Linked DNA regions of Rhinolophus ferrumequinum. The protein of the gene in region 1 purifies or fractionates together with the protein of each later gene. This does not show direct contact. Links are inferred from orthologs where the notes say so. Each region holds a gene or a part of one and is shown in the gene's direction. Other genes may lie near its edges.

Evidence for each region. The genes of interacting proteins can lie anywhere in the genome.
Region 2: the proteins of ANAPC1 (region 1) and CDC27 purify together in Homo sapiens (affinity purification with mass spectrometry; 16 studies listed by BioGRID and IntAct, with this or other methods). This does not show direct contact. The link is inferred for Rhinolophus ferrumequinum from reciprocal best matches to the Homo sapiens genes ANAPC1 and CDC27.

What each region holds. Positions count from the first base shown.
Region 1 is NW_022680356.1:579,391-586,663, forward strand, and holds the start of ANAPC1 (anaphase-promoting complex subunit 1), read left to right. Parts: upstream 1-4,264; 5' UTR 4,265-4,476; intron 4,477-6,366; 5' UTR 6,367-6,390; coding exon 6,391-6,603; intron 6,604-7,273. UniProt on the Homo sapiens protein: Component of the anaphase promoting complex/cyclosome (APC/C), a cell cycle-regulated E3 ubiquitin ligase that controls progression through mitosis and the G1 phase of the cell cycle.
Region 2 is NC_046304.1:41,231,197-41,238,940, reverse strand, and holds the start of CDC27 (cell division cycle protein 27 homolog), read left to right. Parts: upstream 1-4,654; 5' UTR 4,655-4,793; coding exon 4,794-4,820; intron 4,821-7,744. UniProt on the Homo sapiens protein: Component of the anaphase promoting complex/cyclosome (APC/C), a cell cycle-regulated E3 ubiquitin ligase that controls progression through mitosis and the G1 phase of the cell cycle.

The sequences.
Region 1 (7,273 bases):
GAAAAGTTCCAGTTTGAGCACTAATAGTAATACGACAAGTTTGGCTTCCCCAGCCGCTCGGGACTGCACCCCAGGGGCTGGCTTCTCTCTTGGCCCATCCAGAGGACTGACTTGTGAAAGGCATGAGGGAGGCGGGAAGAGGCAGGGATTGCTGCACGTAGGACTCTGGGAGGACACGAAAGGGATGCGGATCCTATTAGCTGCCTTGCCCGGGGACCCCCGGTGGGTGCGCGGCACCGCTAGTGTTCCGCCTGCCTCGCCCACCCCCTCCACCCCGCGGCCAGCGCCCTCTGTGCCCTCCACCCGCCGCGGCAAGATCGAGCTCAGGCCGAGGGCTCCGAGCTCCCGGGGAAAGCTGGCCGTTGTCTCCCGGCCAGGGAGAGACCGCAAACTTGAGCTTTAGCGCCACCTTTGGGAGAACAACCTACATTTTAGAGGTAAAACTATAAAATTTTAAGAAAACAAAGGAGTACATATCACAAACGATCGTGGACTTGGCGATAGATTCTTAGGTACCACCTCTAGAGCACACGCAATGACAGACACAAGGTAAGTGGGAATTCATAAATATGCCCAAATCGTGTCTCCGAGGGCACTATCAGGTGGGAAAGGACAACCCATGCAATGGGAGGAAATATTAGCAAAGCAGAGATCCGTGAAAGGTCTAGTACTTATACAGATAAAGAGCTCTTGCAACGTCTGATGGTTAGTGTTATGTGTCAGTTTGACTGGGCTATAGTACCCAGTTATCTGACCAAACACATCTGCAATCAATTGACTTTGGAGGTTGTTACTCTTGAAAATGGGGGTGGGTCTGTACTCAGCTGAAATCCTTAAGAGGAAAAATTGAGGTTTCTTGATGAAGAAGAAATTATGCCTCATATCACAGTACAAAATCTTGCTGAGCTTTTAGTCTGCTGGTCTACCCTACAGACTTTAGGCTTGCCGAGCCCCATAAGGACAAGAATCATTTCATGAAATAAATCTCTTTATATGCGTTTCTCTGTGTATGTACATGTGCATACATACATATATGTATAAACACACACGTATCTTCATGCTAGAAATATACATGTTCTTTCTCTCTGGAGAAGTCTGATGGATACAGGTTTTGGTAAACAGGATGGTTCTAGAGGAATAGAACCTAAAAGATGTGTTTTCTCAAGCAATCCTGGATCTTCTGGAATTGGTTCTCGAATCTGATTAAATATAAAGGCACAAATGACCGTATTGCCAGTGTTGAAGAAGGCATTGACAGTCCATAGTACAAGGTGGTAATAGAGATATACAAAGGATCACCACTGGATGGATATTCCTAATCAAATATGTATTTTTAAAAAGGTTCTAGGTGACTATGAATTTGATATTTTAGATCATGTTTTACAAACTAACAAATGTGGCAAAATTAGGTGATTGCTCCTACTTGCACTTGATTGAATAAGAAAAAGGTGAGCTCAAGGTGTTCAATTTCCAACGCAAGCGCCCCTCAAATGCCGAGAAATTTCTATATCTTCCCTGAAACTCTTGAGCACTAATATAACTTTAGCGCTGAGATGTTTGAAAACCTAACTCAGTCTCATCCTGCAAGTGGGTGAATTACAACCAAAATTGAATGTCTGTCCACATGGCAGTGAAAGTGATAGCGATGATTTAGAAGAAATAGGGTCCTAAAAGTTGGAATGGGGACACATGGGTGGTTCCTGATTAAGCGGGGACATTGAACTCCAAGACTGTGCAGGCTTCTTTGTGCAGAAGAAGCCCTCCCACTCCTGCCTGAGGAGCTTGCCTCTGCTTCTCCTAAATCCACAAGGATCACCCCCGAGGTACTTGCCTTGCAAGGCTCTATTACCCTGCTCAGGACCTGCGCCCACAGCCCTTTTTGCTTCCAGACTTGTTAGCAGACTCAGCTTCCAGCAGGTTCCAAGAGTGCGGTATAGACTGTGACCCACGAGGACTTCAGCTACACTCCAAACGAGCTGCACCCTTTCCCCAGTTCACACAGACAGAAATCTAGGAAAACTGTGGAGAAATGAGATGTTAAGGGTTTGGGATGACAGTGGAAGGAACATGCAGTTGGATTAGGTGCAACATACTGCTTGGGGCCCATTATGCAGACATGGTCTTCAATGTCATATCTCAAGGGGGTACAAAGTCCTCTAACAGCTTGTTTGCTGGATTGGTTTTGACATGGACCAAAAGGCACAGCACACAAAATGAAACTCAACTGCCTTGGTACAGTGAAGAAGGTGTCGGAATAATCACTCTACAGCAGCTCAGAGAACACAGGTAAACAATCTGACAACAGAAGGAAAACAGTACAAGAACAAATCGAGTTCAACAAACAGACAGAAAACATAAAAAACGTGAAAAAAAGAACCAAGCAGATTTCAGAGCTGAAGAATGTAGAAAAGCCAGATTTCAGTGATATGCCACCCTTGCTACAAATGTGCATCTCTTCGGAGTGACTGTCAGTTAACGCTGGGCCACTGGGTGCCCAGAAATGTGGAGTTGTCCCCCCTCGGCTGCATCACATATACAAGTATTGCAGGATCGGCATTCAGGAGCTTCCCAGTCCTGCAGTGGAAACCCTTTGGCATTCTTGCCTTCCCCCTGGCTCTGATCTGTATCGGGGGCCATCCACCCCATCTGTGCTCATGTTATGGCGGCCCTCGCACACTAACACAGTCTGTTGGGACACAGGGAAGAGGTTCCTGACAGCACTGTGGAAATGGCAGCAGAATTGAACCATGTCAAGGTCCAACAGCAGTAAAAGGCTGATTCGCTGAGAAAAATGACCTCCTTTATGGACTATTAAGGAGATGAATAAGGCCACAGCTCCTGACCTGGCCCACCTACCACACGGTTCGCTGTGCTCTGTGAGAGGACACGTTGCAGAGAAATGTATCCAATACCTTAATCACACACCATTTTTTGTACAAACCAGTCTACCAAATGTGATGATGCATAAGGCTTGGAGAAGGTCTGCAAAGACAGTTCAGCTGACTGTATCACAGGATACCTAGGGAGGTAAACAGTCAAAATTAGCAAAATGTAAGGACAGCATAAATGTTTTCCTCTACGATTCCAACAAACAGGTGAAAAGTGTATTTCTACCCCACCAGGCAGCTGGTGGGAGGAGAGAGGAACCAAGACCATGGCCCTGGCAGATTCAGCATCTGGCGAGGGCTCACTTTCTGGCTCATTGACGGCTGTCTCTTTTGCTGTGTCCCCACTTGGTGGAAGCGCTCCAGGGAGTCCTTTTCTTTATAAGAGCCCTAAGCCCATTCATGAGGGCTCAACCCTCAGGACCTAAGCGCCTCCTGAGTGTTCCACCTCCAAGCACCATCTTACAGGGCTTTAGGTTTCAACATAAGAATCTCGGGGGACACAGCATTCATTCCTCAGCAGGCTCCTTCCTCTGGGAGGGAAGCCTTCTGAGAAGAGGCCTATGAGCTAACCTCTGAAGGTTGACGTTGCTAATGAAGGGACAAGAATGAACACACACACCAAGGCCTCAGAGTGCAAGGTGTGTTTGGGGACTTCCAAGAGACCACTTTAGTGCAGACAAGAAGTTTCAGCCAATTTTACATTTCTGGATAAAGAATTTGAACTTTATTCCTTAGGCAACAGGATGCCTATCAATACTTTTAACCCAGAGATACTGCGCAAAAGAAGATTAGAACTCAAGGAAATTTTCTAGTTTCCTTAAGTGTGATATTGTGCAGTTAAATCCAGACAGGGAGGGCTGGGTAGAGCTGGGCTTCTTAACCCAGGTCTAGGAATCATGGGGATGGGGGGGCAGTAAGGGGGGCAGGGGTGTCTGGGAAGCTCAGAAATCGCAGGCAACGTTTTCGTGAAGGCATCCATATCTTTCATAGACTTTTCAAAGGGTTCAGGCCCCTCATGGTTAAAGAGAGAAAATCAGCAGGTCTTCTCTTCTCCAAGCTTGGAGAGGCAGGTACCTCCCATTGGGGAGTCAGTATAACTAGCAGGAAAGTCCCCTAGTTCAGAGTTAGGAGGCAGTTCAGACTCGTACTGACACGACTGGAGAAGATGTGAACGCCAGGAGGGTCTTGTCACAATAGTCCTGCTTCCAGGCTGGGCCGCTGCCCTAAGAAGGAGGTACCCTGGCAGGTAGGCCCCAGCATCCTTCCTGATACTCACTGCACAAAGGACCGCAGCTTCGCGCCTCCTGGTGAGGCTCCGCCCCTGAGGCCCCGCCCCGCTAGGTCCTGCTCCTGCTTGGCCCGGCGCGAAGCACGACGGGAAGCCAAGATGGCCGCCTCCATTTGAACTCTCCAGAGCTTCTCGCCTCACGCCCGCCTTTCCTCAGGTGCTGCTCACTCTTCCTCCAGAGTAGGGAAGGAGGGGGGAATGAGAAGCTGCAGCAGCCGAGGAGTCCCGGTGACCGACTCTGCCGCTGCCCTCGGGGAGCAGCCGGGGCTCGCCGCGCCTGACGCGTCCTGAGTTACTCAGGTAAGGGCCCGGCCGGCGGCGACAGGTCAGCGCGTGTCCCCTGACCCCCGCACCTGTCCCGAGGCCGACGGTGCGGGACCGGAAGGGAGGACCCAGCGCCCGGGGGCAGCCCAGCTTGCGGGCTGGGCTCTCCGGCGCGCCTCCCCGGGCTGCACGCGGGGTCCGCGTGCGGCCTCAGCTCCCAGATGGGCCCCTTCCCCTGCGACGGGGCTTTCTGAGGCCCAGGTTCTCAGCGTGTTGTTTTCACTGACCCCTGAAGACCTGAAGAGGCGGAGGAAGCTCTGCCTTTTTGCGGAGACTCAACTCGGGGTGCCTTCGCAGGGCCTTTCGGTGTCTTCTTGAACCAGCTTCGCGGTCGCTTCTGGGAGGGTAGCTTGGTTTCTAGTGAGCACTGATGATGTCTTGATTCTTAGCACGTCAGTTTAATATAGTGCTTTTATACGTGTGGCTCCTTACGTTGCCCCCATAAGTAAACACATACAGGTTTGAGGTACAGTGAAAGTATTAAACATGTTGCCTTAATCAGCACAAGATACTGTACTGTAAAAATAGTTCTATGATTAATAATTTTGTAATTTTCACTCAAAATTTTAAGATGTTGGTCATCCTGTTGACTAGAATATAATAAGAAGACCAGCTGAATTTTATTGTTTTCTTGTAAGTCTTCCGAGGCACTGTCTCAGTCATATTCCAAGTATAAGTGTTCTCAGTACTGACTTTTAGCAGGAGGAGAAAAGTGTCATGATTGTCATGTACAGTTGTCTGAGGAAGAAAGTTTAATTAACAGCAAAATAAATGCAACGCTTGCAGAGCCGCATGGGGACTCCAGGGGCCTTGACATATTGCAGCAAAGAGCCTGAAAGACCCCAGGGGAGAAACTAAGTTAAATTCAACTCTTTTTAGTGTGAATGCATTTCAAATACTCATTTGTGCTGACATTAGTGTTTGTTTTGATTTCTGTGTTTGAGGATTGCAGCTTAAATGTGATGCCACAAAACCCGTTTTTCACATAGGTGTTGTCTCGCAGACAAAACTAACATCCACCTCCTACATCACATTGTACAGTGTCAGAATTTGACTGGCTGCCACTTCCTGTTTGTAGAAATGTTTTGAAAGTAGAGGGGCTGGTTTCCACCCACAGCTCATCCACACCCTAGTAGTGATAAAGTGAACTGTACTAGATTATGTTAACTAGAAGATAGAACTCTTAAATTTGCAAGCAAGCATGACTGTTTCATGGACAGAGCTTCCTTAGGTTCGACCAAAAATTGGAATTGATTATGGTTATATGTTTAGTTGGATCGGGGTGTCAGAATTACTGATGACATGTGATAGCTTATTAAAGCAGTGGTTTAACTTTTGATGAATTAGAAGAAATACGTGAGTTCTGTTTGCTTGTTTGTTTCATTTCAATATGCCAGTGATCCTTTATATGCTTTTCAAATGAGATTCCAGCATCTGAACAGAAATGATGTTAAATGTCGAGAGCTGGGAAGTCATCGGACTATGAAGTACAACTTGTCTAAATACCTCAATGTGAATTATAGAAAAATTAGTGTATAGTGGTAGGAAACATAGGATAGGTATTGTGGGATGTAAGTGCTAGTCTCATCCCAATAGTTTCCTACAGTGGTAACTGTTGATCTGTTTGCAACAAAAAAGGAACTGTAATGTTAATTATGGAATGACAGTGTAACTGTAAAATGATAACTGCAATTACCTGAAAAAGTCAGATCTGGAATGTCCATTGACACAATGATCACTTGTACATCTACAGTGTGATAGAATTATGTGACACTTACCTAAAAATTAAGGACTAGTAAACTTTCATGATATTTTTTATTTTGTTTGACTCTAACATCTGACCAGAATGTGTTTCAATTCATACAGAAATAATGTTGATATTTGGAACCCATGTCGAACTTGTATGAAGACAGGGCAACAATGATTGCAGCCGGGGACTTGCAGGAATTTGCTCCTTTCGGTCGAGACCACTGCAGGCACCACCCTAACGCTCTGAACCTTCAGCTTCGCCAGCTGCAGCCAGCCTCTGAGTTCCGGTCTTCGGATGGTGCTGCTGGCTTGGTGGGATCCCTTCAGGAGGTTACAATCCATGAGAAACACAAGGTTCCGTTAAGTTTCTCACTCTGTTTTTGAAATGCAGAGTAATGTGTCCACTTGTAATTTAAGGTGCCCAGAGGCAAGTGCGAAATGAGTATGAAGCTACTTCTCGGGTAGAGGCTAAGATTTGGTCATTTTTATCAAGGCTAAAAATAATGAGTTTATCGTGAGAATCAGTCTGATTATGGTCCATTTTCAACCTCTTCACTTGGAATGTGGAGATCAGATTTCATGTTATTTGCTGATTAGATAGTAGAGTTAGGAATGGTCCCTGCTGCAAAAATCTTGTGTGTGTAGAGGAGAAAAGAAAAGCCACTGAAATAGCTACAGTAGTAAGTACTTCTTAGGTAGGTGCATAGGATGTCATTGTGTGTGTCAGAAAATCAGCCTTTCTCATCTTACTCCATTTTCATATCCCTTTTGGGATACAAAAATCTCAGGGAGGGGAAGGGTATGCAATTAGCAATCTATACCTTTCTCTCTCGCTTGTTTGGACCGTTGGGACCAGGGAAGGAAGGTGAATTGTCCGTGCACTTGGGAAGCAGGGAAGTCTGCATGGCGCATAGGCTCCCCTGGTGTTCCCACATGTGCCTCACTGGCCCTCCCCATTACCCCCCAGATACTTACTGTGTCTTTATAGTCTCCTAAGCTCTTGGGTTTCATTTTTCAATATACA
Region 2 (7,744 bases), on another chromosome or scaffold:
AAGGTAAGTATATAGAGAAACTTATGAAAGATAAGGGTTATTTTAATAAGGTTTGTTTGTGCAGACCCAACTTAGTGCAAATCTGTCTCCAGTGATAACAGTTGTTTGCCTTCTGCTGGTATAGAAGAGGGGAGAGAAACACCTTCATAAAGGGAAATTTATATCCTGCTTTTAAGCAACTAGGGGAGGGAAAAGAGCTCTCTCTGTGTTTGCTGTTTCTTAATTCCTTTCAGCTCAAAATAATCCTTATGCCAAAGTGGAATGTTCTAATCTCTTCACTAGAATGTAGAGTAAAAGAGGGAGACAGGTGAGATAAAGCTGAATAAGGAGGCAAGGCCTAGACCTTAGAGGGCCTTACAAGACAAGTTAAAGGGTTTGGACTACATCCTCAGAACAATGGGAAATCCTGAGTTATGGCGTAAGGTTTAGGGAGGGGAGTTCTGACACGATCAGACTTATTTTTGGAGGTAGGTAAAACTGGAAGCAGGAAGAGACATGAAGGTCTATTTAGGAGGTAAAGTTAATAGCTCTTTGTGACTACCGTGTTTCCCTGACAATAAGACCTAGCCAGACAATCAGCTCTAATGCATCTTTTGGAACAAAAATTAATATAAGACCCGATCTTATTTTACCATAATATAAGACCGGGTCTTATATAGTATAATATAATATAATATAATGTAATGTAATGTAATGTAATATAATATAATATAATATAATACCAGGTCTTATATTAACTTTTGCTCCAAAAGACGCATTAGAGCTGATTGTCCGGTTAGGTCTTATTTTTGGAGAAATATAGTATATGCTAGGGTTAAAGAAAGAGAGTGGTCCAGGTTTGGACAGTGGAGAAGAGGGTGATGCCTTAAACAGGGATAGGAAATATTTCAAGTTCTATGTGGCATGAGGAGTTTCCCTGAGGACAATGTACCTGTGAGATATTCGGATAGAGACACCCAGTTGACAACTAGGCATTTGGGTCTGGAGTTCTAAGAAGCAGTCTGGCTGGAGATACAGATTTTGGAGTAATTTTAGATGAAAATTATGAGAATGGATGGGTTTGCCTAGGAAGAATGTGTAAGGTGAGATGGCCTAGAACAGAAGCATTCTAATGTTAGAGCGGCTGCCAAGGAAACGGATAAAGAACAGAGCAGTAGAAGGAAAATGAGGAGACTGTGTGATCAGAGATGACAAAGGAAAGGGATAATTTCACCAAGAGGAGCCAACGTGGGGGGCGGAAAGAGCCTCAAGGTCATGTTATATAAGGAGGATAAAAGGCAGCATGCAACAGGGACAAAAGAAGGGGACAGATAAGGAAGACTGAAGGAATTCAGAATTCAGAATTCAGAGGTAAGCTTACTCTGGGCTATATTTCAGTGGTACCTGCATCTTGCCAAAGATACCATGTCTAGCTTCTTGAATAGTTTCCTAAATGCTGGCCTCAAAATCTGATGGAACACAAAACAGACCAAGAGGCAGGCTAAGGAGGAGAGATAATTTACCATGTTTGGGATAATGCTTATTGTAACCAACTCCACTCACCAGTGAAACATATATGGATAATGGATGACAGCAGGATGCCCAAGTGCTTGCTGGATGGTGAGTTTAAGTAGGTCAATCAGGAACAGAGAAAGAAGTAAAAATCCTCTAAAAGATCGCATCAAAGAACAACTTCAAACAATGTGGTCTTGCTGCGCACATAGAAAACTACAACAGATGTGTTAGCCCACTGAACAATAGTCAAAAAAAAGATGCCCTTTTTTTTGGGGGGGGGGCAAAAACCTTTAGGCAAATTCTAAGCTTAAGAGCCAGAGTGCCAAACATCACAGACTGTTTAAATGCTAACTCTAGATACACATATTCACACACATAGCAATATCATCTTTATGGATCCTGTATTTTAAGTTCCTTCATTTAAGTTTATAAGAATTCATTGCACAAGTGTAAGACTTGGGTTGGCAGCACATTCTATGGAAAAAGAGCTGTGTTTGTAAAATGAACACAAGCTTAGCATGAGTGAAGTGTCATGTGACTGCTAAGAAATGCAAATACCACTTGAGTCTATTTTAATAGAAGTGTCCAGATAATAAAGAAGTAGTTTTACTGCATTCTGAATTAGAATAAATCTGGAGAGTTGTGTCAGTTAAATGCATCAGATTTTAAGAATAATGTCTTACCCTTTCCATTTCCACTACCAGATTTTCTCATCTTGTACCTGGTAGATGTACAAAGATGGACTAATTATCAAATGCTCTCATCGCACATGCCTTTTGGAATTTCACTTTGCCATAAATTCTCCCATGAAGAAGTGGAGTCTATTTCTCCTCTAGTTGAATGCAGGCTGGCCCTGTGTCTTTCACCAACAAGAAGTGACGGGGTTTGGACCTAGGTCTTAAGGGGCCCAGGTCTTACCGGCCTAGGTCTTAAGGGGCCCAACAGCTTCTGCTTTCATCCTCTTGGTTGCCAACCACCAAGTCAAGAAGCTAGAGCTAAACTACTGACTGATGAGAAGCCAAGGTTGAAAGAGAGCTGTGGAGAACTGAGGAGCTCAGTCAGCAGCTAAGACCAAGTCCTCAAACATGTGAGTCCTTGCATCTTTCAGCCCCAGTCAGACCAATGATGGTAATATTCTTTACCTGTGCTATCCAGTATGGAGGTCAGCCACGTGTCTATTAAGTCCTTGGAATGTGGCCAGGGCATCTAAAGAACTTCATTTTTAATTTCACTTGAATTTAACTAAACTTTAAAATAGCGAGTAGCTACCGTACTGGACAGTGTAGAAGACTATTGCCATTCAAATTCACCCAGCATAACCCTGTTAAAAGAACAGATCACAGAAAATCACCTTAGCACCTACCCTTTATGGGGCTACAAGTACATAAGCAGTGATTACAGATGGCTGGTGGACATGCCAGTTGCTTTGTCGACTAGTGTTTAAAAAAAACAGTCACACAAAGGAAGAGAGTGACCCATTCTAATCTGATTTCATCTGTATAAAATAAGAACCAGAAAGGGAAATTTCCATACAGTGGAATATACTATGAGTACCACATGTAACCTAGAAATGTTCTAACTAGAAAATTAACCTTCTGGTGGCTCAGATGGTTGGAGTGCCATGCTAACGCTGAGGTCGCCAGTTCGATTCCCACGGGGGCCAGTGAGCTGTGCCCTCTACAGCTAAGATTGTGAACAAAGGCTCTCCCTGGAGCTGGGTAGCCGTGAGCAGCTGGAGGTTGGTGTGGGCTGCCGGGGCTGCAGCGGGCAGGCTCCCGCAGGCTGCTGTGCGGCCGTGGGCTACCGTGTGCTGCCAGGCGCGGCCCGTGGCCAGCGTAAGTGGCCTATAGCCATTGTGAGTGGCCGGCGGCCGGCAAGAGCTGCTGTGAGCTGCCGACTGACGACTGGCAACCGACTGCCTTAGCCGGGGGAAGCACCAGGCTCATAACACCAGCCTGGGCCAGGGAGCTGTGTCCTACCCAACTAGACTGAGAAACAAGGGCTTGAACCTGAGTGGGGGCGGGGAGGTGGAAGAAGGGGGGAAATTAACCTTCAAAAATGATATTTCTCATCTCCTGAAAAACAAAGTTTTACTAGTTCTCTGGTTCACGTATTTTTTGGGGGAAGGGGCATAAAAGTAACTTGAGAGAGCCTACTGCATTAGACAGCCACATACATTAATATATTCATCTTATTTTTTTCAGACTAAGAACATGAAGTTCAGAGAGTTTATAACTTGCCTAAGGTCCTAAAAATACGTAGTAGCGCCAGAGATTAAATTCAAAAGCAAGCCTCTGCCTTTCCAATCCCACACTCTTTCCAATACACCAGAATGCCTCTGCAATCAAGAATAAAAATTTCTGCCTGTCTTTTGAGATTGTCCATGATCTGGTCACGTAATATTTCCAGTTAATGCCTTCACTCTTAACAGACTGATCTCATTTCTGCTTTCCTTCACTTTCCTTTTTTTCCCCTTCTCATTCTAACCGTTCTTCAAATCCCAATTTATCCCGTTTTCCTTCTGTGAAAAGTTCCTCATCTTAATCCCAATTAATTTCCCTCTTCTCTGAATTTTTACATCATTTCTAATGGGCCCCACACAAGGTAGCAGCACTTTTCCCTTAAATAGACTGTAATCTCTTTGAGGACAGGGGCCATACTAAAACTTTGAAGGATGGAAATTTCCTATTTCCCTCTAAGCTATGAAGAGATACTTCTGGAATGGATAAATGACCTGCATTCAATAGGCAAATACTTCATGATTAATTAAACTCAGCCTCAAACTCCCGAGTTTTACCCTTTGCTTAATCGACCGCACACGAATTAATCCAGAAAGCTGAGCGGCGAATCAAGACGGCAGCCGGGCCACGTAACGATCCCCTCCAGCTCCAGCACGACACGCCCAGCCCGCTGGGTGCTGATTGGGCGTGGCCCAACCGAGGGTGGACGATTGGGCGTGGCGTGCGTGAGTAGAGGCGGGGCCGAGAAGAGGAACCTATGCTCTGGGTCAGACTCGGTAGTCTCCGACAATTCTCGACAATTTCCGGCAACGGTCTCCTCCTCCGCCGGTTCGCCTCGGGTTTTTCCGGCCTCCTTCGGGCTTTTCCGTCTGGCTCCCGCGCGGATCTCTTCACTTCGGGTATTTCCGTGTCCCGCTCGGAGGTGCTCGGCAATCGCTCGGCCGCCCCCATCCCCCGGTAACGGTCGCTGGTGAGTTTAAATGAGCCGGGGCTGGCCGGGCCGGAGCCGCTACGGGGGGGGGCCTGAGGCACTGCAGAAAGTGGGTTTGAGCCTCAAGGATGACGGTGCTGCAGGAACCCGTCCAGGTAATGATAACCCCCTTCTCTGAGGCTTGGCTCGCGGCCCCAGTCGGGAAGCCGCGTATGGCTACTCCGCGGCCTGGTGCGGCCTAGGCCCGGCTGCTTCTCCCGCCTCTCCTTATGCCCGGTCCTGCCTGTCTTCTCGTCAGTTCGGAGGCCTTGCCCACAACCTAAGCCGTGTTATCTCTGGGCCTACGTTACTTCTGCCCCTAGTGTGAGCGGCATTCGGCGATAATACCTTCCTTTCCGAGCCGACGTCCGGCTAGCCCTCCTGTCAGTCTAGGGGCCTGGTCCTGGCTGGGGTGAGAGATGAGGGTGGGCGGAGGGTGGCGGGGGAAACTCGCCCCAGGTGCTCTGTTACCTAAAGGATGATTGGGAAGCACATTTGATCAGAGCTTGCGCGGTCTTCATAATGGTGGGGCAAGTTGGTGAGGGGGGTGGTGGTGGTTCGGTTTGGTTTTTGTCTTTCTGTGAGAGGTTGGAGGGATCGGTATTTTTTATACTAATTTCTATTTTGGTAACAGACTGAGTAGCCCACGTTGCTTTTCTCGTTCCGTGAATTTCCCACTGAACAATAATCTGAGAACTCCCAAGGCCTAGTGCTGAGGTGCAAGCACCTATACAAGGGGAGAGGGTGGAAACGGCAAATCGGGGGTTTTTTCCTTGGCCTCTGATGGGGATCAAGAATGTTTCAGTTCACGTTTATAAGGCGTCCAGGAAATGAAAGACCAAGAATGGTTTTTCCGTCTGTCTCACTGCCCTTACCACACCAAGGTATGCTTTGACGCACGCTGCTCTGTTGGCATGGAAGAAGCCCGATTGGATTTGAAGTGTGCGATGCAGTGCCAAGTCATTTCCCCCCTGCCATCTGAAGGAACTGAATCTTTTGTCCCTTGGTGATGGACCAGGTCTGGTCTGGGAGACTTTCGATCCACCATTTGATCTTTGACTTGATTTAAAAAGTTGACCTCTATCAACTACTGTCATTGAGTCATGGACTTTCTTTATTTTGAAGTTATAAAGCAAATCGAGTTTAGAAGTTAATTCATATTACCCTTAATAGGCCTGTGATAGCAAATAGTAAATATTTTAATACATTACCCCTTCGTATTACCTTAATTCTTCTTCACCAGATGAAATACCAATTTCTTCTAGTTGGCTTCTTCTCTAGCCCTTTACATATAGCAGCTATTATTGGTTGAATTAATATAATATAGGATTCTAGTTTAGGAAATTCACCTGTTTGTAAGTTGTACTAGTGCTTCCAAAGCTATTTCTTAACATCCAGATTCCTCTTACTAGTAAAGAGTCCCTTTTAAGATTGTTTTTTTTTTTGAGGCCTAACATGAAATTAGAAGTTGCTATCTGTACCTTAAATGGATAAGTAGATCACTCAGTTGTTTAATTTGTCTCATATTCTTGTAATTTTGCCTTAATAATGGATACATTTGCCTTCTCTTACCCCAAAAGGCTTCTAAAATGATAAGCTAGTTGTATTGCTAGCTTATAACTACTATTTAATAATAATTTCAACTTGTATAAAAATGTGGAGAAGAAAAGAAATATATAAGCTATTCCTACACAGTATTCCTCAGGTTTCCTTTTTTTTTTCCCTTAAACTACTCTTGGCAGTAATACACTTAGGTATTTTTAAGGCTTAAAAGTCAAATTTGTTTTTTTTGGGGTTTTTTTTCACACTACCTTTGGCCCATTAGATTCAGGGATGGTGGTAAGAAGCTTTCGGATATGGCTAGGTGAGAATTTTGGTTGTGACTTATAGTATACAAGTAAGATACCATTCAGGAAGGGATCTGGAGCAGTGGGAGGAACAAGCAACTTTGGCTACAGTGATAAAGATCAACTTTAATCAGGAATAGTGCTGAAAATGGAAAGAATTAGGAGGAAAATAAAAATAGGACAGATAAATAAGGTACTATTTTTTTTGTTAACTGGCGAGTGATTGTATGCATATGTATAGGAATGAGAGTAAGATGGAAAGTTGTTTCCTTTCTTGGCATAACTCAAGGTATTACTGGGCATAGGAAAAAGTTGAGAGAAAAGGTGAGCAACTGTTTTCTGCTTTTTTTTTCTTTAAAATTTTAATGTGGGGTACTCAGTGTGATATACCATGTAAGCCTAAATATAAGCTCCTCCATATTATTTCTCGTAGTAAAAGTGTTATTTGTCTGTGGGGGCGCAAAAAAACCAACTTTTGCCCCACCTTCTGTTTTCTTCTAGCTGGGCTAATTATCAGATTAACATGAGACAGGTTAACAGGAGAAAATGTCCAAATTTTATTACAGATGTGCATGACGGGGTGTCATAAAAATGAGACATGAAGACACATTGGACAATTGAGGTTTATGTGCCATTTTAGACAAAGGTGAAGTGGAGCAGGGGTCTGGGATTTCAAAGGAAAGTAGGCAATTCACAGGTAGACAAGAAAGAGCAAACATGTGGTAAACAAATTCTTGCTGGGCTACCCAGAAACAATGGGTCACAGAAGGAAGCTCAACAAACAGGCTTTGCTAGGCTTCTCACTTTCTTCCACATTTAGTTTATATTGAGGCTAAAAGAAGGTGATGCTCCCCTTCTTTTTCTATCTGAATTCCTTTAGACAGGTAAGGGGGGAGAGTCAAAGGTTCTGAGTCTTTTGTTTCTTAATAACCAGCTTAAAATCATTATGCCAGAAGGCATATTTTGGGTTGGCAAAACTTTGGTTCCCCTCAAATCTTTACAAAAACCTCTCCTATTATGAGACAGAATTCTGTTAATTATTTGTAATATAACTTTGGGAAAGAAACTCACATAAATGAGTTCAATCAGTGCTAATTTGGATGTTTATAAAATTCACCTGATGAAATTGATCTAAAAAAGCAAACACATTTTAATAGATTTATCAATTATTCCTGGGAGTAGGGATTCACAGT